2 linked regions of the Rhinolophus ferrumequinum genome follow. The protein of the gene in region 2 purifies or fractionates together with the protein of the main gene of each other region. This does not show direct contact. Links are inferred from orthologs where the notes say so. Each region holds a gene or a part of one and is shown on either strand. Other genes may lie near its edges.

Region 1 (15,090 bases), on a different chromosome or scaffold from region 2:
GTCAGAAGCTAGTTGCACCTCTTACAATTTTTCTTTTTGAACTTGATTGTGACTTAATTATAAATACTGAATTTCCCAGTTATACAAGATAATAAATTGCTATTTCTCTCTAAGTTAATTTTAATTGGGTTTCTGTCATGTGAAACCAAAAGCGTCCAGATGAGTAAAAAAACTGGAACCAGGAATCAAAGATACAAGAGAAAACTTGGGTAGTTGGCAGGTAGGACTGAATGGAAGACAGTAGGAGTCCCTGTAACTGGAGAGCTGGTGGTCCCTGACCTGAATGATCCTTGGTCTGAGCTGGCTGAACTATTACCAGTTGTGCTTCAGGACCTGGATCATTTGTAGACTTTGGACTCAATAGGTACAGACGATGAAAATTGACGACACCCACATCTAAATACAGAAGCATAGTATTTGTATGGCACACGGGTCTAAACAGAAGGGAACACTCTCCGCCATCGGCTCTGCCCATGATGTGGGTATACTGGTGTGCCACTGCCCAACACCTACAGGCTCTCCATAAGGGAAGGCCAGAAGGTGCAATGGAAAGGTGCACATTCAAGGACTCGGACTCCATAGGTTGATGACTTTGGTCTCCTACTCAGTTTTCAAGGGAATTATATCACCAGAGCAATTTAGTCACTATTTAATCTCTAAACCATGGTTCCCAAACCATGGCCCCAACACACCCTGAGTACTGTAGAGAATTCACAGTGGAACCATGGGATATTTAAAATTTTTCAGGAAATAGCGGTACTAAACATCTGTCAGACACCACACTGACAGGTAGTCCACAGTTTTAACATGCGATTATGCTACATTCTTTTCAATGATGTCATATGTCTGCAAAGCAGGTGCTTATATTTTTGGGAGGTGCTGTGACAAAAAGCACAAATATCAATATGTAACAAGAACTGAAGGTGATGGTGTCCAGTGTGATTCTAAGGTCTGGAACGGTGTGCAGTTTCCAACAGAAACACATGTCCCCTTAGCAAGTAATTGTGATTACTTACAAATGAAATTAAAATATTTTTTTAAATTGCAGGATTATTTCTTCAGATTGCTACTAAGTTATTAAGACAGAAATTCTCAAGCTGTTTTTACCTAGCTTTTTAGTTAATTGGACTGTTAGGTATTTCTTTTGGCTCAGAGATGCTATGAATAAATTACTAAGATGCTAAGGGTGCTGTTAAGGAGCAAGTTTGGGACCTCTGCACTAAGGCAATCCCCAGGACCCCAAACCTTCACCAATAGGAGCAGGGCTGGTCAAGTCGTGCAGCCTCCAGAAGGAGCAGCCTGCCCCACGTTCCACTCCTGTGTAGCCATGGAGGACCACAGAGAAGGTAGAACCTTTCAAAGGGCAGAGCCAAGGGCAGCTCCAGTGGCTGGCTCACGCACCCGCCCCCCCCCCACACCCAACAGCCTCACTTTCCAGGAAGGTACCATGTACAGCTGACTTGTGAACAACATGGGTGTGAACTGCACTGGTCCACTTCCATGCAGACTGTTTTCAATAAATACTGTAGAATGTATTTTCTCTCATCATTTTCTTTTCTTCAGCTTACTTTATTATGTGAATACAGTATATAATGTATATAACATACAAAACACATGTTAATCCACTGTTTGTTATTGGCAAAGCTTCCTGTCAATAGCAGGCTATTAGTAGCTCACTTTGTGGGGAGACAAAAGCTACGTGTGGATTTCCGACTGTGCGTGGGCCTGCGCCCCTAACCAGTGTTGTTCACGGGTCAACTGCATGTGATGGACTCATGGTGATGCCTGCTCACTTCCCTTTCTCCCCCTTTTCAAGTGAGAGTTTTTAAAGTGGTTAATCAAAAATATTCTTTTCCATAATATATTAAGCACATTAGGAAGATAACACTTACCATTTAGATACAGACTGCTGACCTGTGGTAAGCCACATCCAGACTTGACAAAGAAGAATGCATACTATCCAGAGCCCCTGGACGAGAAAACGGATGACCTAACTAGAAGGCACTTGAGCTTGACTTGCTTTGCATACACATGGATTGGCTGTACTATGTTGGCGGAGGAGGATTACGGAAGAAATTCTACCTACGGAAAAAGAGACCGTGTAAGTGCACAAGTGTGTGCATGTGCTGGGCCTTCAAGGGGTGGAGTGTTCCAGGACCAGGCTTTTCTCCATTGGGAAACTGCCTCTTCCACACTGCATGCTATTGGGATGGGGCTTCCTGTGTCTTCTTGCTCTCTGGTCACAAGAATGCACACACACACATTTGAGTTCCTCCACCAGATGTGGCACACGGACACTGGGGAAGAGAAAGTCGCTCTCTTCTCTCTACGATTACAAGGACCATATTAGAAGGACTCTTGACACCACACTGAGAGAATCTACATGGGGATGAAGCTATGCAGAGGCTGGCAGAGGAGAGACATAAAGACAGAATTCTGATATTATCATTGAACCCACCCTCCTGGATTTAGCCAAGCTTGGATTTCTATCACTGAGCTAAAACTTCCCTTTTGTGCTTACAGAAGTTTGAGCTAGGTTTCTGTCACTTGTTATTCAAAGAGTTCTAACTAATAGAATCATCACTAATACATCTTCTTGGGAAAACAAATAAAACTGGGCTGGAATATCAAGGTAGAGAAAATCAAGGGACTACAAGCTTAGCTTTTCTGCAGGCGAAGGAAAGGGTAGTGTTTAGGTCAGTATTTTCACGAGGGTTCCAAGCATACTTGGTTATGTGCATTCAGGAACCAGTGCCTGTAACTCATAGGTACATTTTACCTCTGTGTGGCTATACAATCCTCCTTAAGCACGTAATTCCCTAGATCTTCTTGAAGAGAAAATTAAAACCATTTCCCACCATTTGTCTTCCTGGTCAGAAAGCAAGGCCAAGGGTTTTTAAGAACTGGTGTTAACAGTTCTGTGACTGGAGTACGGATGAAATCACCCTTCAGGGGATGATTTCATTTATGTCCTTTCTGGGTACATCTGAAAGCAAACCCAGCCTCCAGAGGGAGGGAAATCCACACACACACAGAGATTGATGAGTCTTTGTTTACTGAAGCCTTTATAAGCTGATTGGCAGGGTCAAGTGGCCACTGTTTAGAGGGTGACAAGCTCTGTTAATTGGCTCTTTACCAGGCAAAATGGCACATGAGAGTTTTTCTAGTGAGCCTGTTCCGGTCTGCCCTTCTTACCAGCCTAAACTTCTCTAGTGTGAGTCCCTAGAACTGCCACGCTGGGAATGTGCAACTAAAAGCCCCCCGGCCCTTTGGGGACTCAGCCTCCAATCCTGGTAAATCTCCAAGTGCAATGTTACTCAGGGATGACAGAGGCACTAAAGACAGACCTTATTACAGCATAACCTTTTGGCTGAAACGAGTATTCATCACTTTTGATGTACCCCCTACAAAATACTCTAAACTCTTTTCTGGCAGGTTTTGCCATGTATTCCAGATGATTTCAAATATATATATATATATATATATATATATATATAATTTTTTTTCGTTCTTCTGCCTCCCCCCAACCCCCAACTCCAGTTCAAGCCGTTGTCTCTGAGTCTAGTTGTGTAGGACACAGCTCCCTGGCCCATGCTGGTATCATGAGCCTTGCGCTCCCCCCAGCTCAGGCAGTCAGTAGTTGGTCGTCTGCCAGCTGCTCATGCTGGCCACCAGCCGCTCCTGGTAGCACAGCAGCCCCCAGCGTCCCACGGCAGCTCACACCGACCTCTGGCTGCTCAAAGCAGCCCAGCTCCAGGGAGAACCATTGTTCACAACCCTAACTGTAGAGGGCGCAGCTCACTGGCTCATGTGGGAATCGAACCTGTGACCTCAGCATTAGGAAAACGGCGCTCCACCACCTGAGCCACCCAGCCGGCCCTAGAAATATTTTTACAAAGCAAACACCTGCTTCTATTCCCTGCTTCTGCTCTCAGTTGTCCAGTGATTGGAGATTAGTGCTCTGGTTTCCATGTGAGATAAAGATTAGAGACTACACCCAAGGAAATATGAAACAATGTCTATTAGCAGAAATGTGAAGTGTGTAACAAGGTCCACAGGCCTTTGGAGAGGGAAAAGCAAGCTCTTGCTCATGGACCTGAGCCTGGAGGAACAGGGCGCTGACCAGAAATGCATACATAGTGAAAGGGGTGTGTTACGGGCTGAATCGTGTGTCTCCCCAACCCCACCCCAATTCATATGTTGAAGTCTTAACCCCCAGTATCTGAGAATGTGACTGTATTTGGAGATAGGGTCTTTAAAGAGGTCATTAAGTTAAAATGAAGTCACTTGGGTGTACCCTAGCCAAATGCGATGAGTGTCCTTATAAGACAAGATCAGGATACACACACACAGGGAAGATTGTGGGAGGACACAGGAAGAAAATGGTCACCTCCAAGCCAAGGAAAGAGGCTTCAGAAGAAACTTACTCTACTGCCACCTTGATCTTGGACTTCTAGCCTCCGGAACTATGAGGAAATACATTTCTGTTATTTAGGCCACCCCACCCATGGTACTTTGTAATGGCAGCCTGAGCAAACAAATGTAGGGTGCAACCAAAAACTGACTTAGAATGATGGTGCTGTGAGCTTGCCCTCTGAGCCTCAGTCACAGAATGCAACTACCTTTCACTGTTCCCCAATGTAGCTGGATCTTTTCCTAGGGCTTTAGCATACATTTTCTTGATATCATGTCATCCAACTATGTCTAGTCATGCTGCTTTATACGGATCTTAATAAATCTGTCTTCCTCTTTTGTGTCTTCACCTGCTAAACATGTGTAGAAATTTGTCAAGCCTTCTGTTAGTTACTTATCCAAGCTACTCATATTTCTCTCTTTAAAGTTCACCATGTAAGTCCCTTTCTTTAATCTGTAAATTTAAATTGCTAATGTGCTACTTGTCTAGCTGTTCTTTATAAAGTGGCATTTGGGGGTGTTTATCTTTTCAACTCAGAAGAAGTGAAGGGACTGATTGTTGAATTCTTGTTTCTGGCTGCATTCTGAGCTCTGCTGAGGCTATGAGCTGGCTTAGGGGAAGTCAATACACAAGGGTTCTATATTTGGAGGGGCTTTATATAGGGGAATGGAAATGTCCTTTGTGGTCCCGAATATGTGTCAGAGCACAATTCACGCTCAATTCATGTCCTTAGGTCAACACAAAAGACAGAGAGGGCCAAGGGATGAAAATAATTCCTTGGGTTAGTAAGTATCTCCATGGAGACCAGAAAATGCATGATCTTTATAGAGACCCTCAAAATCTCTCCTGAAATTACAGTAGTATATGATCTGTTGGAATTATAAATTGAGGATGGAGGGAAGTGACAAAAGGGAGAGGATGAAAGGATAATCCTCTTCTTTCCTTAGTGGAACTATACACATTGTGACTCTAAATTTAATCAATTGTGGTACTGTAAAATTCTGAAGTTAAGATTCTGGGAGACCACGTCCCGAGGATAGGATGAGAGGCATCTGAGAACCTAGTATTTATACGCCCAGCACTGAACCAGATGCTGACATGTGTTTGGCATTCAAAAAATGTGCTAATGTATGAATGGATTCAATGAGCAATTGGGCAGGATCGCATCATGGGCTCAGGCCCTGTCCATCATCTGTGTTCTGTTAAAACAAAGGGAGAAGGCCACTGTCTGCGGAATACTGGGAAATATCTGCCTATGACTGTGCGGAACAGTAACTCCTATTTTGCTTCTCTTTCAAGGACAATGATGCTCAATTGTATAAATATGGTCAAAGGAGGAAATGAAGTTCACTTGTGGTGAGGAGATAAGCCGGGTACAGGGAAATAGACCAGTTAAAGAATGCAAGTAATTGTGTCCAGATGAATTATGTATCCTACTGTAACATACCTGTTCTTAGCCTTACTAGTCTCTGGAGGTGAAAAAGGATTTGGAATACTTTTGATACGCAGGGTATTGTGGTCCAATGCCCCACTATGGCTTATTTGTTGCAAACTGGCCCACTACAAAACAGGCCCCTGTGTTTTTTGTGTTTCCTACGGTAATGCCTCAGCTTAGTGCCCAAACATTTCTGTCCACTCGTCCTATTTCTTCCTTCTTATCTTGCTATCACGTTATTGCTCTGATTGCTGATCCTAAGGAGAGACCTCTTAGCATGATGGTCTCTAATGGTTGACCACTGACTGAAACAATCATCTTTAATTCCAGAAAAAGCTACTGCTAAATCTTGGTGTATATACTTTCAGGTTTTTCTGTTTACAAATATATACATAAAATTATACATACATGTAAATGATATATATGTTAAATATAACTTCATATACATGAAGTAGCTTGAGATCAGACTATAATAGTTTTGTACTCTGCATTTTGTTTCTAACAATACAAAATGAAAATATTTTCCATTTTACTAAATGTTGAAATACATCATTTTTTACTGACTACGTGGTACTCACTGTATGAATATACTATCATTTACTTAATATCTATTAGACTTTTAATGTGTTCCCAGTTTTCCCATGATTATAAATATCACTGAACTGCATCTTTTTATATCCATTCTTATGCATGTCTTGGTTGTTTCTAAATATTAATAGAATTCCTGGGTTGAAGATTATGAACATTTTTAAGATTTATGCTCTTGCTTGTTTTACTGTTCATCTCTTTATGTACCCATTTTTTTTAGGTACACAAAATTTACAAAAGATGGTGAATCCTAGGTATCAGGATTCATGCTTTTCCTTTTTTTTTTTTTAAGGAGGGCACAGCTCACAGTGGCCCATGTGGGGATAGAACTGGCAACCTTGGTGTTATTAGCACCAACCTCTAACCAACTGAGCTAACCGGCCACCCCCATGCTTTTTTTTCACTTTGCATTTGCCACCTTCTCTTCCCAATACTTGGGGGCGGTAGGGCTTTACAACTCAGTGCAGTTAGTGTACCAGTGACAACGGTAAAGCTATCTGAAGGTATCCTGGAGAATCCCAAGGAAAAACACGTGTATCGTGTATTCCCAAAGGGAAAGCAGGGAGTACATTTTAGCACCCCCCTCCTTGTCTAATCCAGAGCACAGAGAGAACTGAAAGTCTCTCAATACAATGACACCTCAGAGAATAAACACTCCTTACCTCGGTGGAGAACTTTTAGAATTTCCTCCAGTAGTGTGTGAACTCTTGGGGGCTCATTTTTGTATGTCCAACCTCACACAGTGATGGTGCAACATGGCTTTCATTCAGGGGCATGAATGAGGTGCCAGGATCCCAACAACCTGAGGTACAGCAGATCACTTCAGTGGCTACCACTGTCATTGTAAATAAAATACTTTCTGGAGGCAGCAGACTCGTTCCTTCTTTCTTTCCTCTGTAGTTGGAGACTAAAAGGTGGAGACAGAAGTGGTGCCCAGAGCGGACCTGGGGCTTTTGGAGGCAGCAGAGAGGGAGAGGGCTGGGGTAAGTCTAGACACGGTTTCCTTCTATTGTCTTCCCTTCCTCCTTGCCCCTCCCTCCCTCCCCTGCATTTCCCTTCTCATGGTGGACGCTGCAGCCTGGAACCTGAGCCCGGAGATGGTGGGATTGAGCCCCCTCGCTTCTTAGCTAAGTTTACAGCGCCTAGTATTGCAAGCGGGGCTGTTTTCAAGCAGCAAAAGCACTCAGAATGAACAGCTCTCGGCCTCTCCCCTCGGTTTCCTCCTCGGGTTGGCTGGAAACTTCACGGAGACACCGAAGAAACTCCGCCCTGGTAGTTCTGAGCTGACCACCGGCTGAGGCCCCGCTGGGCATTCTCCCTCCCGAAGTCTCCCAGCCCCAGACTATGCCCTCGGGGAGGTAGCCTGGAGCCCGTTTCCTGGGGGCAGAAGGAAAAGGGTGGGCTCGCTTGGAGGGCAGGAGGAAGATGGTAGAGTCAGAGCTGGTGCTCACCGCTCCCTCGCCGTCCAGACCCCCTTAGGACTCCCACCAGGCCCAGGCGTGGGGGTGGGGGTGGGCACACAGCCAATTCCTGGGTCCCACCCGGTTCCCTCTTTCCCACGCCGGGAGGCCGCTCAGGCTGAGGCCCCCTCCCCGCTCATAGCCGCCAACTGGGGGCAAAGGGCAGCGCGCAACAACACTCGGATCCCCGCCCGCCCCGGCAGGCGGCGGCTGCGGCCTAGGGCAGCTGGCGACCGCGAGCCTCCTCCCCCTCCCGGAAGCGCGGGGCGGGGTCCCCGGCCGGGCCGCGGGGGCGGGCGCGGGGGCCGGGCCGGGGCGGGGCGCGCTCGGCGCTCGCGGGCTGGGCTGGCTGTGCGCGCCCACTCCGACTCCAGGCCTCCGGCTCTAGCCTAGCGGCGGCGACGGCGGCGGCGGCATCGGCATCGGCAGCCTCAGCCTCAGCCTCAGCCTCAGCCTCAGCAGCAGCAGCAGCAGCAGCAGCAGCAGCAGCAGCAGCTATTCGCGGCGAGGCCCTGCGCCCCTCGCAGCCCCTTCCCGGCGCTGTGCATGGAGACGCCGCCCGCCGCCGGCTGCTGAGCCACCATCCGGCCCGGGACCTGCGGGGGCTGGGGTGGCCTCGGGCTCCGACTCGGGCTTGGCCGGCCGCCCTCGTCGCCCGAGGGCTGCGCTTGGCCCGCGGGCCTCGTCGCCCGCGCGAATCGCCGCGGCCCGGCCGTCCCGTCCCAGGAATTAGCCGTCCTGACCGCCATGGCTCACTCCCCGGTGCAGTCGGGCCTGCCCGGCATGCAGGTAAGCAGCAGCCGGGCCGCCGAGGGGCGGGAGGGATGCGCGGGCCGGGGCGGAAGCAGAGAACTTGGCGGTGTAAACATGGCCCCCCCCACGCTGCCCCTTCCGGGGTCGCGCCGGCCTCCCGCGTCCGGCTCTCAGTGCCCGGGGCGCCCCTGCCCGGCTCGGCGGTCAGCGTTTCGGGGACGGGGGGCGGCGCGGGGACCTGGGGGCCGCGGCCTGGAGGCGGCCCTCTCCGTCTGGGAGTCGCGGTGGTCAGGGAGGGATGTGGGGGTGCCGGCCGTCTTCTTCCCCGCTCCCCTGTCTCCCCAGCGCCTCCGGAGCTGCAGGCCCAGCGCCGGCCCCAGCCCCGGGGGAGAAGTGATGTGGGGAAATGCCCTTGGAGGCCCCGGCGCGGTCTCTGGGCCCTGCCTGCGCGCGGCGGGTGCTGGAGGCCCCTGTCCCCTCCCTGCGAGCGGGCGGTAAAGTTGAGAGGCGGGAGGGGAGCCCCGGGCGCGTCAGGACTAGTCCTGGGCCCTGCCCGGGTGGAGGAGCCGGGATAGGGTGGAGGGAGGTGCAATTGCCAGCTCCACTTCCAGCGCGCGTTTCCTTCTGGTGCAGACACAGGGGAAAGTGCGAGCCTGTAAACCGTGCAGAAGGACTCCCTGGGACAGCGTGCACTCGAGTGTCCCGAGCCGAGGCTGACCCGCCCGGTCCTGGGACACTAGGCTTTTACTTTGAGAATTGATTGAATCCAGATGAGTTCTTCCCAGTAAACCTTTCCGTTGATACTTTGTGGCATGTTGGCCTACCATTGACTTTTTTGGGGTGGGGAGAAGTTGAATTTCAAATTACATGAAGGCGTTCAAGTTTTTCTGTATCGGGCACCGTTTTTAGCCCTTTGAAAAATAAAACCACCCTGCTTGGCTAATTTGTAATGCGTGTAAGCGCATAAGAGGTGTCAAAATCATTAGGATTAAAAACCTCACGATGCAGTTAGGGTATGTCATTAACGTTCTGCTCTCCCAACTTAGCTAAACGAGTGATCATGAAAACACAACCCCAGTATCTAAGTGGATTAGTTATCCTACAGACAGCCACGGGCTTGTTTTCTCTTCTTGCCTCGCTCTTGAGGGCTGAGAGGAACGGGGCTGGAGGACCTGGCCTTTTAGAAGCCGGGAATCTGTTCCTCTCTTTCGACGCACATCGTTTTCTCTCATTAAAACCATAAAAAGAAAACGATTTCATTGTTTAGGTTTGCAGTACTGAAATATAGGAACATAAAGTTACCAGAATTCTAGCCTCAGTTTTTTTTTTTTTTAAGGAGTAGCAGTTAAAGTTAATACCGAGAGAGCTTGAAGAAAACTGTCCTTGAATCTCATCCAAAGAGTTTTTAAACTCAACGTGCATTTAAAAGCTAAGCTTTTGCTGACCACTAGGTAAAAATCAGATGTGGTTTCTTGGTATTTCCTAAAGTTCCTGCTTTGGTTTGGTTTGAACTGAGATGCAGGAAGGCAGGGTGAACTGGCTGAAAAATGATTTCTGACCAGTAGAGCAAGAAGGCCTTCTTGTAGTGACCAAAAAAATAAAAAAAAATAAAAAAAAAATACGTCTGCTCAATCTTTCCTTTAGACGGACTTTTATGCTGTTTTAATCAGGTTGCAGTCTAGCACAAATGCCTCCCTGAGAGTTTACCACGGAGGTATTCCGCCTTTGTGGAGAGAGCATCAGTTTAAAAAGGTACTTAAAAGCCTCACTAGCTGGTGCCCTGAAGTCAGTATCAGATGGTTACCAGGTACCTTTTTTTGTCCTCACTTTTTTCTTTCTTCAAGAGTGTGGGCCAAAATTCTTAAATCTTGGGAAAAGAAGGTGAATTTCATTTAATAACTTTGCCGCCCAAATACAGTGCATTTACTAGGTAGTGTTACAAAGGAACTGTTTTTATTTTGCTTTCTCAGTATGAAAGCTGATAAATTTTTATTTAGTTGAAAAAACCAAATTTTCATCTTGTTAGAGTTGTAGAGGAGTTGAAGGTGGCTTTTGACAGTCATCCCTATATTTAAGTACATGTATAAACTGTATGATAATTGTTTTTAGTTTGCTATTTGGGAATGAACACCCCCCCCCCCCCCCCCGCACCCCCCAAGAAAAACAACAAGCACGTTTATTTCCTACTTTGAATTAGCAGCTGCTACTGCCCAGGGAGGCTTTTCCTCAGTGTTGTTGGGGATTAAATTAAAGGCACACCCGCCTTGGCCTGTTCTCTAGGATAAAACAGGAGAACTACTAACCCTTCTGTGCTCTGTCCTGATACATCTCACATCCCTCTCTTTTTTCTCTCTTATCTCCTGACCAGGGCTTATAAGGAGCTGGGTTAAAAGTTTTAGGAAGACAGTACAGTGAATTCAGGCAGCCTAGGCAAAGATGCCTACAAAATAAGCCTGAATGAGAGAACATTTTAGTGTAAACATAAGTTTTCAGTGTCTTGCAAATCATTTCTATGCCTCTTGTTTCTTACTTGTTACCATTTGAGGCATAGTTATTATATGCGATTTTCTAGATTTGGGAATCAACTAAAGACTAATTGAACTGACCAAGGTGAGATGGGGCAAATTTGTGACTTGAAACCAGGTCTTTCTTGCCTTCAAGACCATACTCACCATGCTGTATTACTACTTTTACAAAAATTAATATTCATTTCATTCCAACTTGGGTGTGGTGAAGAAACGAGAAATACGAGATTGGTATTTTATTCAGTCAGCAGTCATTGACCACTTCATGTGGCAGGTCCTGGCTGAGGGGTTGATGACTAAATCTGTTTTTAATGTTTAATGAAGGGTGCCAGGGTGCCTTTCTTTTTTACTTCCCACACCCCAGCTTCATATTAGCATAGGGGGAAAAAATAGAAATCGTGAACTGAATGTAGTAACTACGAATAGACATAAAGAAATTAGGTTGTTGTGTAGATTTAACCACTCCCTGTCCTTCATTGGATATTTGGTGTTTCACTCAATTCAGATTAAAAGAAAATAAAGCTTCAGTTGGAGGCAAGAGCACTGATCACGGCATAGTTTTTACAAGTTGAAATTTGAGAAGAATTATATTTTGGTTTATACATTTCTCACAGAATTTTGTCGGTCACTTTTGAACTTTTCTGGACTATGACCCATGTAAGAGATACATTTTACATCAAGACCGGAAACAGAAATTTTGGAAGATAGTCCTGATCCTTAATACTTGTGAAGTACTGTTATGTGATATATTTTAAGAAAAAGGAGCGGGTTGCAACACTAAATTGATTTCACAGCTGAGTGATTTGACCCAAGTTTGAAAAGTACTGATTAGCTGTGTCACATGTGTAGTGAAACCTGAGTTAAGTTAGCATGTTTTGAGAATGTCATAAATTTAAGATATTCTCATATTTGAAAGTACAGACAATTTATAGGAACAGCGAGAGAACTTAAAATTTCTACTGGTTAGCATTATCCTTCCTTTGCGCTAGCTGCTTGGAGAAACCCTTGCCTGAGAAGTCCCCTGTGTGGGGATACAGTGCAAGACGGTAATGGCCAGTTGGGATGCTTTGGGAGCTTTTCTCAAGTGCTCTTGCTTACCCTGCTGCAGCCTGTGTGCTCTGCAAAATCTGGGAAATGAAGGCAACAGACAGTTGCATTTAATTGTGGCTTAAGTGCTCTTGTCCCTTTTTTTCCTCTTTAGTGTCACATTTCCATAGTTTTTTTCCTGTTTCCATGGAAGAGACCTTCCCATGTTCAGTCTGTTACCATTTGCACCCAGGGCAAAGGTGGGTGTATCACAATTGTGGACCTTTCGAGTATTTGTGAGAATTAGATTGTGAAAGCACCTTGAGGGAAATGCTGAGCTGTAGGACGTGGCCTGGTGTCTCAGCACATTGAACTAGATGAGGAGCCTGCATTCAGGCAGCATATTCGTCTGCAGAGTGTGGTGCCAGCAGCCATGGGAGACGGAGGTGAGAACCTCCTGCGGGCCTGTCCCCAGGAAGGCCCAGCCTCGTGAGGGCCAATCCACATGAAGGACAGTGGGGCGCAGACAGCAGAGGTGTTGTATGGTGTTGAGAGCCGGGGGTGAGGGAACTGCATGGACCCAGGGAAAGGGGGCCTGGTTCCTGGCTGCAGTAGGGCAGGGTTGAGTGTTCTGTACTCAGGAACCCTGCTTTCTCAGTTGTGGGTGGTAGGTAGGAGAAGGTAGAGGGAGCTGGGTTCTGGGGAGTGCTGGGTGCTGGCTTGAAAGGCAGTGGCATGACGGGGGTGAGGTGAGGTTAACCTCAGGCAGTGAGAGCTCAGCAGAGAAGCCTGAGTGGTTGGAGCTGCTGGTGTCAGCAGGGTGGCCAGGGTGGACTTTTTCACAAGGTGGATTTAAACCTTGGTCATTTGAACTGTCAGTGAACATTTTACTCTTTTATTTACTCTGTCCCACCCCCCCTCTTATTTTGACCCTTTCTGCTGTTTTATGCTGAAGAATAAGTAAAGGCACATTTTTCTGTTAGTTTCTTAAAAAAGATACCTATTTCAATAATACTTCATATTCCCTCTTTTCCTGTGTTACCAAAACTTAACAGGGTTAAGAACATATTTGCTTAAAAGTGTATATTTTGGGGGGAGGGTCGTCGGAAGATTTTAAAAAATTAAAATGAAAAAATATAACGTAGAGGTGTCCAGGATGTTTTGTTTCTGAACGTTCCTGATAGTATTTCACATAGAACCAAGTGAGCGTCAAGTAGCAATTGGTCAGATTCGATTTTTCTAGGCAGCTAATGTAGCAACAGTCTTCCAGCAGAGAGTAGTTAGGGGTAAGTGGCAGTCATCACCACTGCTTTCTTGTTCGTTTTTGTAATTTTTGTTCTCATCTTTGAGGTACGGCTCTGATGCGTGTAGCTGAGCTGGCTCCTTTGATGCAGGTGGACACTGCTCTTCAGTTGAAGACTATTTTTCTAGGACCTTAGTTCAATATGCAGTGAGTAGTTACTGAAGAAATGAGCCCCTTGGTAGTTGTTGCTTCTCCCTAGTGCGTTTTTACAGTCATGCTAAAGCCAGAGTCCAGGAGTCTGGTGATCTCTTGAGAAACATGCTACTTTACTCTCTATTTGGGTGATTTCTCCCAGTGATTCAGAGTTGCCTGCTTGGAAACTTGGTACCTGCAGGAAATGGACCGCACCCAGCCAACCCTCTTGTGGCTTTTTTTCTGCTTTAGCTGAGCATGGTTATCATTAATGGAATCTTGTGGCAGGAAGGAGTTTGTGCAGGAAATAGAAGTTGCACTGTTATCCCTCTATTGCTGCTTAGAGTCAATCGCTGTCATTGGGCCAGTCATTTCCCATAATTCATGTTTTTGCATTGCAATGTATTTAAAAACTCTTAGTGCCAGATATTTTGGGAAAAAGAAAAACATGCCTATTGCAACACCTGGCTCCTGAGGGTGACTATGGAATTTCCTAATCCTAAAAGGCTCCCTGGTTTCCAAGGTTGAGATTAGAGAAAAATAAAACAAGATGTACCTTTGTTTGCTACAAAGTATAAAACATCTCAAGTTGTGGGTTACAAAGGCAGTCTATTTAGAGACCTTTCATTATATTCTCATGAGGGTTCTTGGTCAGCAAAAGGAACCTTATCTGGTCAGCAGCCTATTGGTATCTGAATAAATTGTGGCAACATCTCAAGTTTTATGTTATTACCAAATATGTAGCTGGTGTTTATCATCCTATTATTTTCAATCTCTTCGTGTTTTTAAAAAAGATTTTAGGCCCTAAAATTTGAAAGACCAGAAAGACCCAAATCCTTTTTAAAAATTTTAATTATTTAGGATTTTTGTTTAGTTTTTATAAAGAAATTATATGTTTTAAAGAGTCAGATGGCTTCTTGTAAGGTTTGGAAAGATGGCAGTTACTTGCCTCTTGCCTCCATTTCTTCCTCCCCAAAGGCAGTCCCTTTGATCTCTCTTAGTTGATTGTTGTGTTTACTTCTTTGTTTATAAAGAACATTTAAAAAATTGCTGCTACTTTCTCCCCCTCGTTTCTGGCATTATCTGTGAAGATGAGGATTTCTCTTGTTGCCTCATTCTCTGACATGTTACCTTCCTTCCCTCTCCCTAGTGTCGTTACATTGTAACTTTGGTTAGATCAGCCTGTACATTAATTGACTGTAAATAGTCCTTGTAAACTAGTAAACCAGGATTAACTTTTGAAATTCTTTTGGGGGAGTTGTTTTTTGGTAATGTATTTAGTTCAGGCTGCTACAACAAAGTAGCATAGACTGCGTGGCTTAAACAATAAACTTTTATTTCTCACAGTCTGGACGCTAAGAAGCCCAAGATGAAGCTGAGGACAGACAGATTCTGGGGTACTTCCTAGACCCAGTCTCAGTGGCATAAGGGGCAAGGGAGCTCTCTGGGGTCGG
Region 2 (15,243 bases):
AAGTGACTTCATGGGCTTAGCTAGCTCTGAAAAGTAAAGTGAGTCCCTTGGGTAGAACTGAGAGAACGGTTGAGCAATAAGGAATTAAATCACTCTGCATGACAAAGTTCGAGCAGGAACCAAGGTCATTGTGTCTGGCACACCGGAACTCGATATATTTTTGCTGAAACTCTGGAGATGGGACCCAGCAACCTGTGATTTAACAAGACCTTCAGGCAATTCCAATACACCCTCAAATCCAAGAACCTCTAATCTTTAAATAACTTTTTAATACTGCACGGACCATCCCTAGTCCCCCAAATCCTCAGTGAAAAGTTGCTATACACAACAGTCTTTTGTTAGTAGTGCTTTGGGTAACAGGACAAAGCCCCTCCATCCAAGAGTTCCTGACAACGACCAACAGCTAGGAAAGTCCAGGCCAAGGCAGAGCTGGGGCAGGGTGAGAGACGCAGGCTGCAACTCAAGCTGACCTGAGAGCAAATGTGAGGTGGACGAACCCTCAAATGTGCAGTAAACATTCACCTTTTGCTTTGCAAACATCCATCCCCATTGGTGGGGGTGGGGAAATAAATGAATTTTCATTTAAGGTTATAGCTTTTCCCACACTTAATCTGTAGCTCTAGATAGAGCACATGACCTAAACCTAGTCAATCAAAGCAACACATTCCTCTGGCCACAGTGATTGGTTCAGGGGCGAACACATGGTCCAACCAGAGCCAAGAAGACAGACTGAGATTTTTCTCAGACTTCTGGGAAAGAGCGAGGTGCTCTTTCCTATTGAATGTGATGGGATCTGAAGCTAGAGCTACTGTGCTTATGGCCAACTAAAAAAGAAAGCATGTCTGTAAATAGAACTAACACAGAAGTAGAATTGAGAGATACACAGAGAGAAACCTGATCCTGGTTACATTTTTGAGAAGCCAGATCCAGCCTCTTCTGAAGTTAGCCTACTCATAGACCTTTTCGTGCCATGAACACAATAAAAACCCTTTTTGCTTTGCACAATGTGGGAGCAGTTTTCTGTCCCTTATATCTGGAGGCATCCCGACTATGACAGAAGACAGTGGGTTGAGTTATTTTCTTTGGAAAGTGTGGCTACAGAAAGCAGGAGAACTTGAGGTGTGAGTTACCTAAGTCTAACTCCCCTCCAGACTGTAAGCATCCTGAGGTTGGAGCTGTGTGTTATTTTTCGTGGTGATGATAGGAGACACTCAAGGATTATTTTAGGAACAAAAGGGGAAGAGGGAGGCAAGGCAGAGAGAAAAAAAGGGGGATGAGAAATAACTCATCTACAGACTCCTCCCAAGGAGGCAGGAAACCTGAGTCACCTGGTCACTTGGTTCTAGTCAGACCAGACCCTGCAGAGCCCAGCAGGAGCCACAAAGCAGGAAATGAGGGTATTGCAACTTCCTGCACCAGCCTACTCCAAAGGGCCACGTACCAGAAAATTGCCTAGAAATGACGGTGCAGCCATAACCAGGTCATTACTTTCCCTACAAATATTTCTCCCTTTTGTGAGCAACAAGGACCCATTCATCCAACTGTGTGGGGCCTCAGCTGAAATAACAGACCAGGGGAAATGTGTAATTGGCTTTCATCAAATTGAAGCCGTAGGGCAGCCCAGCTGAGCAGAAACTCTGTCTCTGGCCATAGCACAGAAATTATTTTCTGCTTAATGTCAGCCCACGTGTGGAGGAAAAGGGGGAACAGACGGGAAAGAGAAAGAGGACCAGCCTTCACGGTCAGCGTCAGCCCTTCTGGCAAAGCTACTCAGCCCAGAGCTTTGTCTGAATAGCCAGCCGGGGCAGAAAGGGGATCTGACTCCAGACTTTTGGGGGAGGAAGGCAGTGGAGCAGAGGAGAAACAGGAAGAGAGACAGAAAGGGGAAGGGTTGGAAGAGGGAGAAAGAGTTAACCTGTAATGAAATAAGTCCACTTACATATGACACATGGTACACGACTGATATCATTTCCCACGTGTCTGCCTATATGACACTTGGAAACAAAAAAACATAACATTAACCAGTTTATCAACTCATCATCTGGCATATGTTTTTCAATTATAATTTCAGAGATCAAAACCAAAAGGAAAACTTGAGACTCATCCAAGGGAACATAGAGCATTCTTCCAGGGACCTATGACTAATCTGTATTTTGGGGGTGAGGAGAGGAGTTCAAAACGACTCCCATTCTTGGGAACTTTGCTGGGTGATTTGGAAACTCCACAGTGTATCTCATCTACTTCTAGGAATTTTCCATCTGGGCTAAACTGCACACCATCTACCTTCCCTTTTTGCCCCTCTGTGAGCTTTGTGTCCCCCATCCCGGCCCCCCGACTTCAGGGGAGCATGTGAGTTCCACATAGGATGAGGGAGACGGGACCCTGGGTCCCGCGGGTGTTCTCCCGAAGGCCCCTAACAGCAATACTGCTGTGCAATTCCCAGCGTGCATTTCCCCAAGCAAATTGTCCCCAGGATCCTGTGAACTTCGGCCTTGGCTTTGTCATTGCGGTCCTAAGAAAAGATTCTATCTTTGGATCTGCAGATCCAAAAAACCACATGGCCCTAGTTTCCTGGTCGTCAGGAAGGGCCACCAGGCAGCCCCAGTAATGGAAAGATCAGTGAGTCACGCAGGTCTGGGCTCAGTCCCACCTCCACCACCCACCAGCTCCATGAGGCAATCCTGGAATGGAAACAGCACGGCTGGAGCCCCGAGGGCTGAGCTCTCTGACCTCAGTCAAGCTTCCCCATTATCCCTTTCTTAAACTACCTAAATCCCAGGGGCCTCGTCTGTAAAACGGAGATTGTAAGAACTAAAGGTTTGCTGTGAGGATTAAAAGAAATAACGTGCCTGGTGTGAAGCAGGTACTACATGATTGGTTGATGTTATCATCATTATTGTTATTATGTGGCCTTAGGCAAGACATTTAACCTCTCTGAACTTGCTTTCTTATCTGAAACACCGGAAGTAGGAAGTAAGAATAATGACCTCTTAGGATGGTCCCAAGGATTATATAAGGATTATATACGTAATGGTGACGAGGAGTATACAAGTAACATTGGCAAAGTGCCTGATACATAGTAGGCACTCAATGGTAGATTTCTTTCCCTTTCCTTCCCAGACCTCCTCCTCCACAATCCAGGGTAAGAATTTCCTGGATCCCTCATGGCCAAGCTGGCCCCAACATTTAGCTAAAAAAACAGAAGAATCTGTCCCTGAAAGTGGTTTTTCAAATTGCTGGCCCTTGGAGCCCCCCCACCTGTGGTGGTCTCAGCCCACACCCATACAAGGATAAACTGTCAGGTGGGAGTTTTTCCTGACTCTCAGGAAAAATGGTGAGGACCGCACTGAGATCGCCAGGAGGGAAGCTGACAGCTGCAGACCTCATCGCTCAGCACTAGGGGGAGCAGTAAGCTCGGGAACACAGTGAGGGCCACGCCCCGAAATCTCTCCATTCCGCGTGTCCCCAGTCGCTCAAATGGAGCAGATCTAGCAGAAGAGAACGCTTAAGGAATACGCAGAAAGGCCTTTGTGGAAACTAATGATGGGAGAAAATGCTGGGAGCCATGGAGAGCCCATCTTCCCTCCTGCTTCCGCCTGGTCCCTGCCTTAGAGAGCCCTCTCAGGCTTCTAGATTTCGACGGCCGGATCCCCTTCTGGAGGAGCTGAGCGGGAGGGTGAAGAAAGGAGGTAGGGAAGACAGGCTAGGTCACTTTTCCCAGTCACCCAACTTTTACATCAAGCTCACCCAGCATCTTAGTAAGTCCCAGCGAGTCACAGCTAGAAGGAGCCTTATAGAACCCCAGGTGTTCAACTCCCAGATGTTTAGCTGGAGGATTGGGACCCAAAGAGGAGTCTTTAAGCAAAGATCTCCCAGGTAGTTTATAATAACCCCTCAGAGTTAGCCAAATACTTTTATGTCCATCATCTCACTTGGGTATTCACAACCACCAGGTGCTGTAGGCTGAGACTATTACCTCATTTCACAAATGAGGAAACAGGTTCAGGTAAGTGGCCATAGTTCTCTTCCCTACTAAATTTTCATTGCCACCCACCATTCCCTCCTCTCTTGCTTACCCTTGCTTTAAAATTGGTCCAAACAACACACGTAACCCCAGGAAGATCGCTGCTCAGCTCCAAGTATTCCATAAATCAAATTTTATATTTGATTTATTTACAAATTTTTATATTTGTTGCAAGCCCCGTCTTCCTAACCCCCATCTAGCATGATGGAGGTAGTAATTGGAGTCAGATCCAAGTAAATATTTTATGTTTGTCACTTATGAATTCCATGACCATGGATGGATCTTTTTGTGCCTCAATTTCCTTATCAGTAAAATGAGGATATTTACTTATCAGTAAAATGAGATAGATTCTCCTGGGATTCTTTTAAAGGTTGAATCAGATGTACTGTAAAGCAATTTTATAGTGCCTGTGATATTGTAAAGGCTTGACAAATGGCTACTGGCATATATAATTATATCATCATGGAACTGAAATGATCTCTGGGAATTATTTTATTACTTTTATGCTGTTTTCCAATGAAGTCAGATGGAGGGAGTTAAGTGGGATGTTACTCTGAGAAGTACAGTTTACATACCGGTTTGACTGTTTCGCCTTCCCCAAATTCATGTCCACCTGGAACCTCAGAAGGTGAACTTGTTTGGAAATAGGGTCTTTGCAGATGTAATGAGTTAATAGGAGGTCGTATTAGATTCGTGTCAGCTCTAAATCCCATACGACTGTTGTCCTTATAAGCAGAGGAGACATATAGAGACATCGAGACAGAGGGAAGAAGGCCGTGTGAAGACAGAGACAGACTGAGGTGACGCAACTACAAGCCAAGGAACTTCAATCCCAGAACCAGGGATTGTCTGGGGGCCGTCAGAAGCCGGGAGCCCCCAGAAGGAACCAACATTGCCAACAACTTGATTTTAGACTTCTAGCCTCCAGACTAAGAGAGAATAAATTTCCGTTTTAAGCCACGCTGTTTGTGGTAATTTGTTATGGCAGCCCTAAGAAATTAAAAGTTTGTGACAGAGGGAGAACTCTGACAGAACTTCATGGTTTTTAAATTCCAGTCTAGCCCTCTTTACTCCATCATTGCCTCCCTAAGCCAGCAATAAACACTTATGGAACACCTAGCTAGGAAGTTTACCTGTTTGGAGAAAAGCTGACTCAATCTATATAATCGTTAGCATTTCCTACTAAGTTGTTGCCTGACACACAGTAGGCATTTAATAAATATTTACTGGCAAGTTGATAAAATAACAGATATAAAAATGCCATATTGTGATATACAAACTTAAGATAGCTTAAGAACCCACTTTCTACCTCTATGTACATCTTTGTACTCTATTTACACATTTTATATATTAAAGAATCTTAACACTCAGAACTCTCTCTCATGGCTGCAGCTACAGCCTGAAGGTCTCCTGAAGTTCATAACCCTGCTCATTAACTACCTGCAGGGGTGAATTAAAAGGAAAGTGTTTACCCCAGAAGGAATGTATCTGTCAAAAAGGACTCCTTGTGGTTAACTGGACCTAAGCAAGAGTCCAGCAGCCATTGTTTGCAGAGGCCTCTCACAGGTAGGGCCACAGACTGAGCTAGCTATCTATGCCTCCTGCACTGCATTCCTGCAGCCTGAGCAAAAACTTATAGATTCTGTCCAATCAGAACTGAGCAACTAGAGCCTCATTTGCATCTTTACCAACCAGCAAATAACAACTAATCAGAATGTGTGATTCTGACCAATCAGGACAGTGCTATTTGAACCAATCAAACAGGGAAAATTTTGATTCCTCATTTGCATAAAAAGACCAATCGGATCAGGACAGCACTTCATAAAAGGCAGCATCCCCTTTGTCGCAGGAAAGTGCATTTTCAGTTTCTCTCCCTCTTCTAGCCTGCATTTTCCCCAGTTTGCAAACTGTTTACCTGAATAAAGTCTTGCCTCCACCCCCGCCACACCCCAGACTGGGTACTCCTGTGGGTGGCAGAGATTCTATTGACAAAAGCAATCTGGATACCCTCAGGATTCTGAATCTTACAAGGCAAATATGGTCTAATTTTTGCTGGGTCCTCTCACACTCAGGAACGGACAGGACGGAGCTGTGGGAGCCAGGGGAGCTGCCCGTTGCCATAAAGGGAGTAGCATAGAGCACTACAGTGTGGGAGTAGAATGGGCACTGGTGGGTTAACAGCTAAAAGGGAGGGAGGGGAAGGAGGGAGGAGCTGATTCACTAGGACAACTCTTAGAGTGACTCAGAAGCCAGCAGAAAATAGCCTGTTCTCCCACATCTGCTTCATTGTCAGGCAATGAGGCACTTCCTCATTGCACACCCTTAGGCTGGGCAAAAGGGTGGAGGAGGAAATGGGATTTTTCAAATTCATGGGCCTATTCCAGCACCTGAATTGAGTGTTTGTAATCATCTCAGACATTTTGTTTCAAGTCAAGTCACTATTTATTGAGCACCTACTATGTGCCTGGCTTTTCATTTTGCCTTTCAGATCATCAGTCACCTGAACACAGGGAGTGCTGTGTTTCTGAAGTTCTGTATTTCCTACTTCATTACCTAAAAGGCACTTGGGCCGCTGTTGAGCACCTCAGTACAGTTTTGCTGTCCTTCATATATACAAATGACCCTCTCAAGCCTACAGCCAATCAGTACAGGGAGGCATGAAGCTTTTTTCTGGCTTTAATGGTGATTTTACAGTCATCTAGGTCCATTCTCTGGACCTGTCTTCCTTGTAAGAGCCAGAGTGAGATAAGCGACTATGCCACAGGTTTGGAATCACTCATTGTTGTTAAGTTTTTTTCTTTCCCATTTACTAGCTCTATGATGTTACTTAATTTCTCTGAATCTCTATCGTCTCGTGTGTAAAATGGGCACAATGTCTATCTTACAGGTCAGCAAAGATTTTCATAAAGTAGTGGAGATTAAATACCATATGAAAGTACCTGGCACAGTGATGCCACAAAAACTGGTTTACTTCCTTCCGATTTCCCTGTGATGGAACAGACTGACCACATCCCTCCACGAGACTGTAAATTGAATGAGGGCAGTGCTGTATCTGCCTCGAAGACTATGTCTGCCTAGGTGAGTATTAGGCCCCTGTTTTGCTTAATAATTGTTAAGAATAGTACATTATTAAAGTTAGTACATATTTATGCAATCGAATATAAATATTCGATTGTATTATAAGCATTTATTATGCTATATTTAAAATAATGTGGTTGTTAATCTTTTAACTGCTAGCTGAATCAATCTGTGAACTGGAAAAGGAATCCAGTTCCTCAGACAGGGATAAGGGGATGTATCCTCTCCCCTCTTTGGTCCTGGTAGGGCTTGCTGCCACCAGCAAGATGTGCATCCCCGGGTTCACAAGAAAGGACACACATCCCTTGCATCCTCTACACTGTCCTTTGTTCGAGCTCCACTTGCAAACGCCACTGCCCACAGTATAAGGGTGCGAAGGACACAAAAAAGTCCCCTTATTGGGCAGCATTGCGTGGAAAACCTTGACACACAAATTTGCAAATATTCATTCGACTTCCACCTGGAAGGCAAGTCGGACTGGATTTATGCTCTCCCTGGTGCTAGCCAGTGTCCCCACCCCAGGGGCTCCAGAGCTAGTATGCTCTTCTAAATGTAGCGTGAATAGAGAAGGGCGGTCTCCGGGTTTTTCATCTTTGCGCCCTTGCTTCTAGCACCACACCCACAAACTCATCCAAGGAAAAGAGACAGCAGGTAAGACACGTTACCAGGTTTTCAACAAATTCTAAAGCAGACACCAAAGCGCACTTCAAACGTTAATGTGGCCCAATCGATCAGGACACCCGCCATTCCTAAGCTTCCTAGACCAGGAGCGTTAAAGCACGAAGCACTCGCCCGGTCCTGCCCGGAAACCACACAGAGGATGGAAAGTTGCAGAAGCCGGGCCGGGAGGGGCCCGAGTCCAACGCCAAGCTCAGGCCGAAGGGGGATGCTTCCTCCCGGAAGTGACGCGAGCTCAATCCCAGCTTGGCTCTCCCCAAACAAAAGGGATCTCGGGGCCCCGGGAGGAGCCTCAATGACATTGGAGAAGCCCCGCCTCCAGCCGGCGCGAATTGGTGCCGGGGCTGGAGAGGCGAGATGGCGATTGGCGGCGGTGAATGCCAGTGCCCCCGCCTGGTGGTTGAGGGGCGGGGACTCGGGGAACTGTGGATGGGAGCGGGTTAGCGGAGGCGGCGAGGAGCGGAGCCCGGAGCGCCGGGATAAGGTAGGAGCCGCTAGGGCTGGGGCTTGGCGGTGGCTGGGAGGCCGCGTTCTCCAGAGAAAAGTAAGGGTAGGACCATCGATGTCCTCCCGCCACCGTCCCAACTGCCATTCGCGTCCATCCCCGAAGGGGGCGGGGCCCTCTCTTCCACCTCCCGGTATTCCCGGTGGAGGCGGCTCCTCATCCTTCGAGGGTCCTCGCAGCTACTTATTGTCCCCCATCAATCCCAGCTCCGTAGAAGGGGCTCCCCTCCTGACACCTCTCATTCAACCCCGCCCCCAGCGCCTCAACCTTGGGGGAGGGCGCACAGGTTCCCATTCTTTAGGCTGCCGCTCCCACCCCCATTTTGTCCCCCGGGGAGCCCAGACATCCCGCCCAACACCTGCCCCTGCTCGCTAAGGTGGCACCAGAGCTGGTTTCATCCATAAGATAAAATCAGTGTTTTCCCAAAAAAGAGGGATGGAGCGGAAGCAAAAATCAAAGACCCGATCTAGGCTGCCAGCTCCACAGACCAAGCGGCCTTCCCTCACTTCAGTTCTTCCCATCCCCCATGCTCTGGTCATCAGCCTTCCTCCCGAAGCCCCTCGGGTCCTCTGTTCTCCTGTAGGGGAGAGAGCCCACCTGCTGCGGGACTTTTTTTAGACTCTGGAGGAAGGAGAAATAGTAACTCCCCACCCCCACGGCCCCCTTTGTACGTTCCCTCTACCCTGTTCTTTCAGGGAGAACCCAACCTCTAAGGGTTTTTTTAGGTTTGAGTTGTGTTTCATTTTTGCTTTCCACCCTATTTCTTCCCTGAGAACTTGATGAAGAACCAAAAACCATCCTTTATGTTTCACAGTGAGGTGGGTGTGTTGGACATCTCCACATCTGGCCTTGTGTGGGGAGAGGTGCAGTATGTATTGTCATTGAATAAACAGCACACTTTAAAATCAAACAGTATTGATGAGTAAATAAAGAGCATTAGATTAGGAATGAGTCTAAGGTGGGCTGGTCAGTTGCTCAGGGAGACTGCCGTTAACCTTGAAGGTATATTTCTGTTGAAACAAAAGGCAGGAAGTGTTTGAAGAAAATTCAGGCTCAGTTGTCTAGGTTTATGATTAATCTGGTCCTGTGGCCTTTGGTTCCTCTCTAGCCCCCTTTTTTAATGGTGGGTTTTTCCCTCCAGGCGGAACTGATACATATATAATGTTATGGATTGGTTTTCCAAGAACAGTGTCAGCCACCAAAATTTAGGGGGTGAAAAGTAAGAGCACGTTTTAAATCTCAGAGAGAAGGATAAATAAAAACAAGGTTAACGCCAGCTATTCACACGCCTTGTAACTATCAGAAGTGTCTCTGTGGTGGTCTCATAAGGCTTTGTCAAGCTGGCCTTCATTTCAGCAGGTGCAAAATATTGATGATTTGGGCGGAATGTTAATGCCATTGAATCCTCGGTAATCATCCATTGCTAGCACTTGCATATATTAAAAATTGCCATATATTTTTAGCTCATTTCTTTTGCTTTTTATCTGTAGTCCATCTTACTACTGTTTCCTGTAGCTAGAGCTAATAGCAATGAGATGCAAGGAGTTGGACTCACAGAGGGTAGTCTTTCATAATGGCTGTCTTTCACCTTCCTGATGGAACTTTCTTGAAGGTAGACTTCCTGAAGATAATTATTTTTGAATATTTAGTCTCGAAGTTTTCAGGGCCACTCTCGGTGCTCCCAGATCTGTTCAGTGATTGTTTCCAGATCCTCAATAAAACAGCACAAAGAAGAAACTGTGCGGAGGGTGTCTCCAGCAAACAAAATGTACTGCAGTAGGAGGGTAAGACATGTTTCCCCCGCAATAGCAGTAGAAAAAACTAAGAGCAAAACAGGAAATCCTCAAAAGATATATCTTGTTACATGAGCAGAGAACAGAAAATAAACTAAGGTAGCAGACCAAGGAGACCAAAGTAGTGGACATTGCCAGGACCTTAATGAACAGATAGGAAAAACCAAATCACACTCTTTGATTATTTGGCACAATAAGGACCTGTTCGATACACGTTTGGGTTTTGGAAATCTTTCCTCTAACTTTTCAACACTTGTTTGGTCATATTAGATGAAGAAAAGCCTTTTGCATATAGAGGATTTTTATGTATATGTCTAATCTATCTCATTAAATTACAAATTCTTTGAGAGCAGCCAGTAGGTGGTTTTTTTTCATCTTTGTATCTTTCACAGTGCCTGGTATATATAGTTTGATTTAATGAGTGCTGAACTTAGTTTGAAGCTGTCACTTTAGAGTAGCCTAGAAAGATAATGTACTGATAAGATATGGCACATCTTGTTAGTATGAACAATCCACTTTTTGTCTTGATTTAATTTTTATTTTCCCTACCTGATGTCTCATAAAACCACAGTATCTTAAGTAACTCTAAAATATGGAATTTTCTATAAGAGAATGTCTGCTGGTTAGATATATAATTTTGCTGTAATGAAATCCGAACAGGTTTATTGATGTAATCAGTGCTAGTTATCTTAGGATTTCATTTTCCTAAGAATCTGACCAGAGAGGAATGAAGTTCATTTAGGAGCGCATACTAGGAACTGATTGCTGGGTTTTGTTTAAGAGTGTTTGGTTTTGACCAGTTACCGATCTGCTGTAGGATTTTGTTAATGGATTTTTAGTTGTTTTTGTGCTGTTCTGAACTAGGAATAAATGCACAAACCGGGGCACAAATAGGAGTGGGTCCCTGAATGGAGTCGTCGGTGTACGGTGGGTTCCTGTCTTGGCAGAACCTGGTTTGGAACTTGCAGAACTAGTCTGGAATTCTTGGTTTTTCTGAGTGGAGCAGAATGGTGTTTGTATAGGTTGCCATTGGAGTGGTGTTTGGTGGCTTGAGACGAGAAACAGATTTCTTTCTTTCTAGAGGAAATTTATCCAGTCTGTGGTGTTTGACCCCAAGAATGGCTTGTCGGCCTGTTTCTAAAGGCCATTTTTTCTCATATTTCCTGAATGTTTGCTAATAACTAAAAATCAAGTCTTCCAAGGTTCAGTTCAAAGTATTTCCGTGAGAAAATGACATATTTATTGTCAGGCTGTAGAGTGTGGTAACTTACAGCGCAGATTTCAAGGCAAATTTGGGTTCAAATCCCAACTCTACTACTCTCACTGCGAGTGAGGACGAAAGCAGAGTTTTCTGTCTTCACCATATCCCAGTTTCCTGTGCTGTGACATAGCAATAACTTCTAGAATTTTTTTTTAAGAATTACATTTAAATAAGGATTACAAAGCAAGGTTACCTACGTAGCATGTAGGAAGTGCTCAATAATTGGTAGGTATTATCGTTGTTATTCTACTTTGCATATGTGCTAAAGAATTTAACATTAAACATTTTTACTTCTTTAGCATTTTAGCAAAGGTGATGAATTAGTGTTAATTTTAGTTATTGGTTGGTTTTGTTTTAAATTTTTCAATATACAGCTAAGATTTCTAAGTAGAGGGACACAAAGCTTGTATATGTCATGACCTCAGACATCTGATCTGAGGATTGTTAGGAGAGTGTGTGTCTGTCTCATAGTGTGTGTTGCATAATTGTGTCATGGAAATTATCTCCCTTGAATTTTTTGGCCCGGGAATAAGAAAGGCAAGAGATTCGGCCATCTGATGTCTTCTCTCTGAATTGCCCATTGTTCCACTCCAGACTCTACTGTCTTAAGTACCTCTGTCCTGAGTGTCAAACTGTATAAATGGCTTGGTGGATACTGGGATACGGTACGTTCTGTGAGATTTATGGGCTATTCAGTGATAACTTTGATTAAAAGTGGTTTTTGCCTTTTGAAGACAACTCCTCCACTGCCCCCCAAAGTGAGGAGCAGTTATAGGAACAATGAAAACGGGTGAGAAGAAAGCACCTGTGGGGGAGTTAAGAGTGGAGGTAGGGGAGGAAAATAGGATTGTCTACAAGGAGGCGACGGTGTAAAGAATGCAGTAAGACCTTCCCCCCTGCCTTGTGTTTTCAGACTCTGTAGTTCAGGTTCAGAGCTTCCAATCTGTGTCCTTTGCTGCTAACAATCCTTTCTGACTTGTGGAGCCACAAAGACTGTAATCCTTAATTGTTACTGAGTCTGGTAGAAACCAGAAAGGACGAAGGGAGAGCGCAGGACGAGGGGGTTTCCAGACAAAAAGAGATTCCTGACCTTGAACCTTGGGAGGCTCTGCTTTGATCCTTTGTGCAAAAGCTGCTGGGGAAGGCTGGGCTGTGTGTGCTCCGGGTCTGCTCTCCTTAGAAAGGTGAGAAGCAGGGAGGGAGGAAAACAGGGGAGTAGAGCGGGGATGAATTGTTTTAACAAGAGATGAGAACTATACCTTATAAAGGAGAGAATAATGAGAATAGCTGACAGGTAAGTTGTAGGAAAAAGAGAAGCACTAACTCTTATTTTTGGTGGGAAGGGTGCCCTACTCAGTTTCTGCTAAGCAGTCCTTCTGTTGCAGCAGGTCTGAGAGGAGTGAGAACAGAACCAAGCTGGACGTTAACTGGTGTAATATGTGAGGGTACAAAACTTATCAGGTCTGCTTCTGCACTTCAGCTTCTTCCTGTTGCCTTTTGTTCTTAAATGAAAGGCACCGAGGGTTGCTGAAAAGGCTCTACCTCTGAAGACCGCTCCACTTGTAAATGTTTAGCGTTCGTGGCACTGGCTCTTACCACGTTCCTCTTGGGGTCTAATTACTTCTCGTTGAGCACATCACAGTCATCATTTCCCCCTAAAACCAGTTCCTTTTCTGACATCCCTGTTCCTGTTAATGGCATCATCATTTTAGTCACCCCGTCTGGAAAGCTCAGCTGATCTCGGATCATTTCCCCTCTTGCCTACTTAAATGGAACCAGTACCAAGTCACTGTAAATTCTCTATAAAGTCTCTCAAACATTTCTTTTGCTTTCTGACCGCCGCCGTCCTAGTTCACACCGTTTTGCCACATACATTTACTCTGACAGTTTTCTCCCAACTGCTCTTTCTGCTTCAGTCAAATCAACCGTGTGCCTCAAGCCTTAACCTTCCTGACACTGGGCTTTCGTTAGGACAGTCAACTGCTTAGGAATGTGTAGGGGCGTCTCATTTCCTAAAAGATCAAGTCCAGTTTCGTTGGCTGTAATTCAAGGTACTGTGCTGTACGTTTCTTTCCGACCGGCGTTTTTTGAGTACCCCTTTGAACCAGACTGCTAGGTGCTGAGTTTCATCAAGTTGAATAAGACAGTAGTTATTTGTCTAGAATAGCAGTCAGATGAGACAGAAGACAGATATGTAAACAGATGAATTGATGTAATAGGATGTGATAACTGCTCCTGGGTTATGAATATACAAGTAGATGTATACTTATTACATGTGTAACATAATGTAAAAACTAGCTGTGATATTTTTAGAAAACTCGTTTCTCAGTCATTGCCAGTTACAATTGTGACTTGATTAAAAGCTGTGAAAATTCAGTGGAAGCAAAGGCATGCGTTTCTCCTATATGCTAAAGGCACAAAAAGCTAGTCGAGGCAGAAGAAAGTTCTTTTCTTTTCCCAAGTAGTAGACAGATTCCGCTGGCCTGAAAAAGTGTTGTATGTGTCCCTAAGCCAACTCTCCTGGGAACTAGCCAGGCCATCTCCTCCTTGGAGGTGTCAGGTCAGAAGGAGTAAACTTGTTTTGATTTCTAAATTAGACACGTGAATGGTAGAAAATGAGGACTCAATGGAAAAAGGAAGACTTCATTATCTTTGCAGATGACACCAAATATATGCTATCCAGGGATGGGAAATGGGAGGACTGAGCAGTCACCAACTCATTTAAGCCATTCAGGATCCTGTTAGAATATGTAGTGTTATTATCCCGATTTTATAGATGAAGAACTTAAAAGATTAAGTGGATCAGGGAACCGTGAAGTGGCTGTGCCCGGTCTCTTGGCCTAGGGCACTTTCCACTACAAGGCACTGCCTCCCAGGAGAATTATTGTCCCCAAAGGACCTTGGAACAAAAACAATTGCTAGGTCTGTTGTTGGTCATTTCCAACTGATAACAAATTGTTAAACTTTTTTTTTAAATTGGTGACCTGGTTTAGAAGACAAAATTTAAAAGGCAAAACATCAGTTATCATATTTCTGTTAGAGTCTTTTGTGAAATTTTTTGCAGTTCAGGGAGAGTCAGGTTGTGGGCAGAGCTAAAACACAGATACCTGGACTGTTTCTTGGTTCATTCTCCGCACTGAACACTTGGTTTCTTCCCAGTTTGGAATCCTGGTGGAGTCAAAGGCTTCGTCTGTGAAGGGCTTTTATATTCCAGGCTGCCTCTACAATTGTGGCCCATGAACTTTACTGGAAATAAAATCAATCTACATGTTATTGTTCCCTTGTGGCATTTTACAAATCATGGTGGCATTATTTCAGAAAAGCAAACATTTAGGAGAGTGATGGACAGATAGATTACATAGACAGATACAAATATTTCAATGAAATCATATTAAAATTTCTTTTAAACTAAATAAAGCCAAGTGACATACATACTTGAAATGGTTCGTACTTCTGGTAATTTTCTGATGTTAAAAGACATATCTTTTTTTTTTATTTTAATGAAAAAGAATTTATTACCACTATAAAAGCTATTATTCGTTTTCATTAACATGCATTCCAGTAGCTTACCTAATGGAGTTCTGGTTTGGTCTTGTCTCAGATGAGAATACTTGAAAGGGTGTAAACAGATATTCAGGTAGACAGACCTGTTTTTAATAGCGTTGTGCTAAATGTCCTCATTTTGGGGGAGAGATGTTTGAATGTTTGTTTATGGACGTGAGGCCACTTCCTCCTTTTCCTCAATATACATGTAAATCCTGTTGGCAACATAGAGACAATGGGAAAAATGTGAAAGACAGACAGACACACACACACACACACACACACCCTCCAGAGATGCATGAGTCTTAAAACAGCTAAACAAAACAGAAACCTGATACCCATCATGGTGTCCCAGAAAGTG

What was found.
Region 1: the proteins of CTTNBP2NL (region 2) and STK24 purify together in Homo sapiens (affinity purification with mass spectrometry; 3 studies listed by BioGRID and IntAct, with this or other methods). This does not show direct contact. The link is inferred for Rhinolophus ferrumequinum from reciprocal best matches to the Homo sapiens genes CTTNBP2NL and STK24.

The regions. Positions count from the first base shown.
Region 1 is NC_046287.1:44,273,013-44,288,102, reverse strand, and holds the start of STK24 (serine/threonine-protein kinase 24), read left to right. Parts: upstream 1-8,328; 5' UTR 8,329-8,644; coding exon 8,645-8,686; intron 8,687-15,090. UniProt on the Homo sapiens protein: Serine/threonine-protein kinase that acts on both serine and threonine residues and promotes apoptosis in response to stress stimuli and caspase activation.
Region 2 is NC_046305.1:43,724,740-43,739,982, forward strand, and holds the start of CTTNBP2NL (CTTNBP2 N-terminal-like protein), read left to right. Parts: upstream 1-8,151; 5' UTR 8,152-8,264; intron 8,265-14,257; exon of another isoform or gene 14,258-14,585; intron 14,586-14,909; exon of another isoform or gene 14,910-15,097; intron 15,098-15,243. UniProt on the Homo sapiens protein: Regulates lamellipodial actin dynamics in a CTTN-dependent manner. Associates with core striatin-interacting phosphatase and kinase (STRIPAK) complex to form CTTNBP2NL-STRIPAK complexes.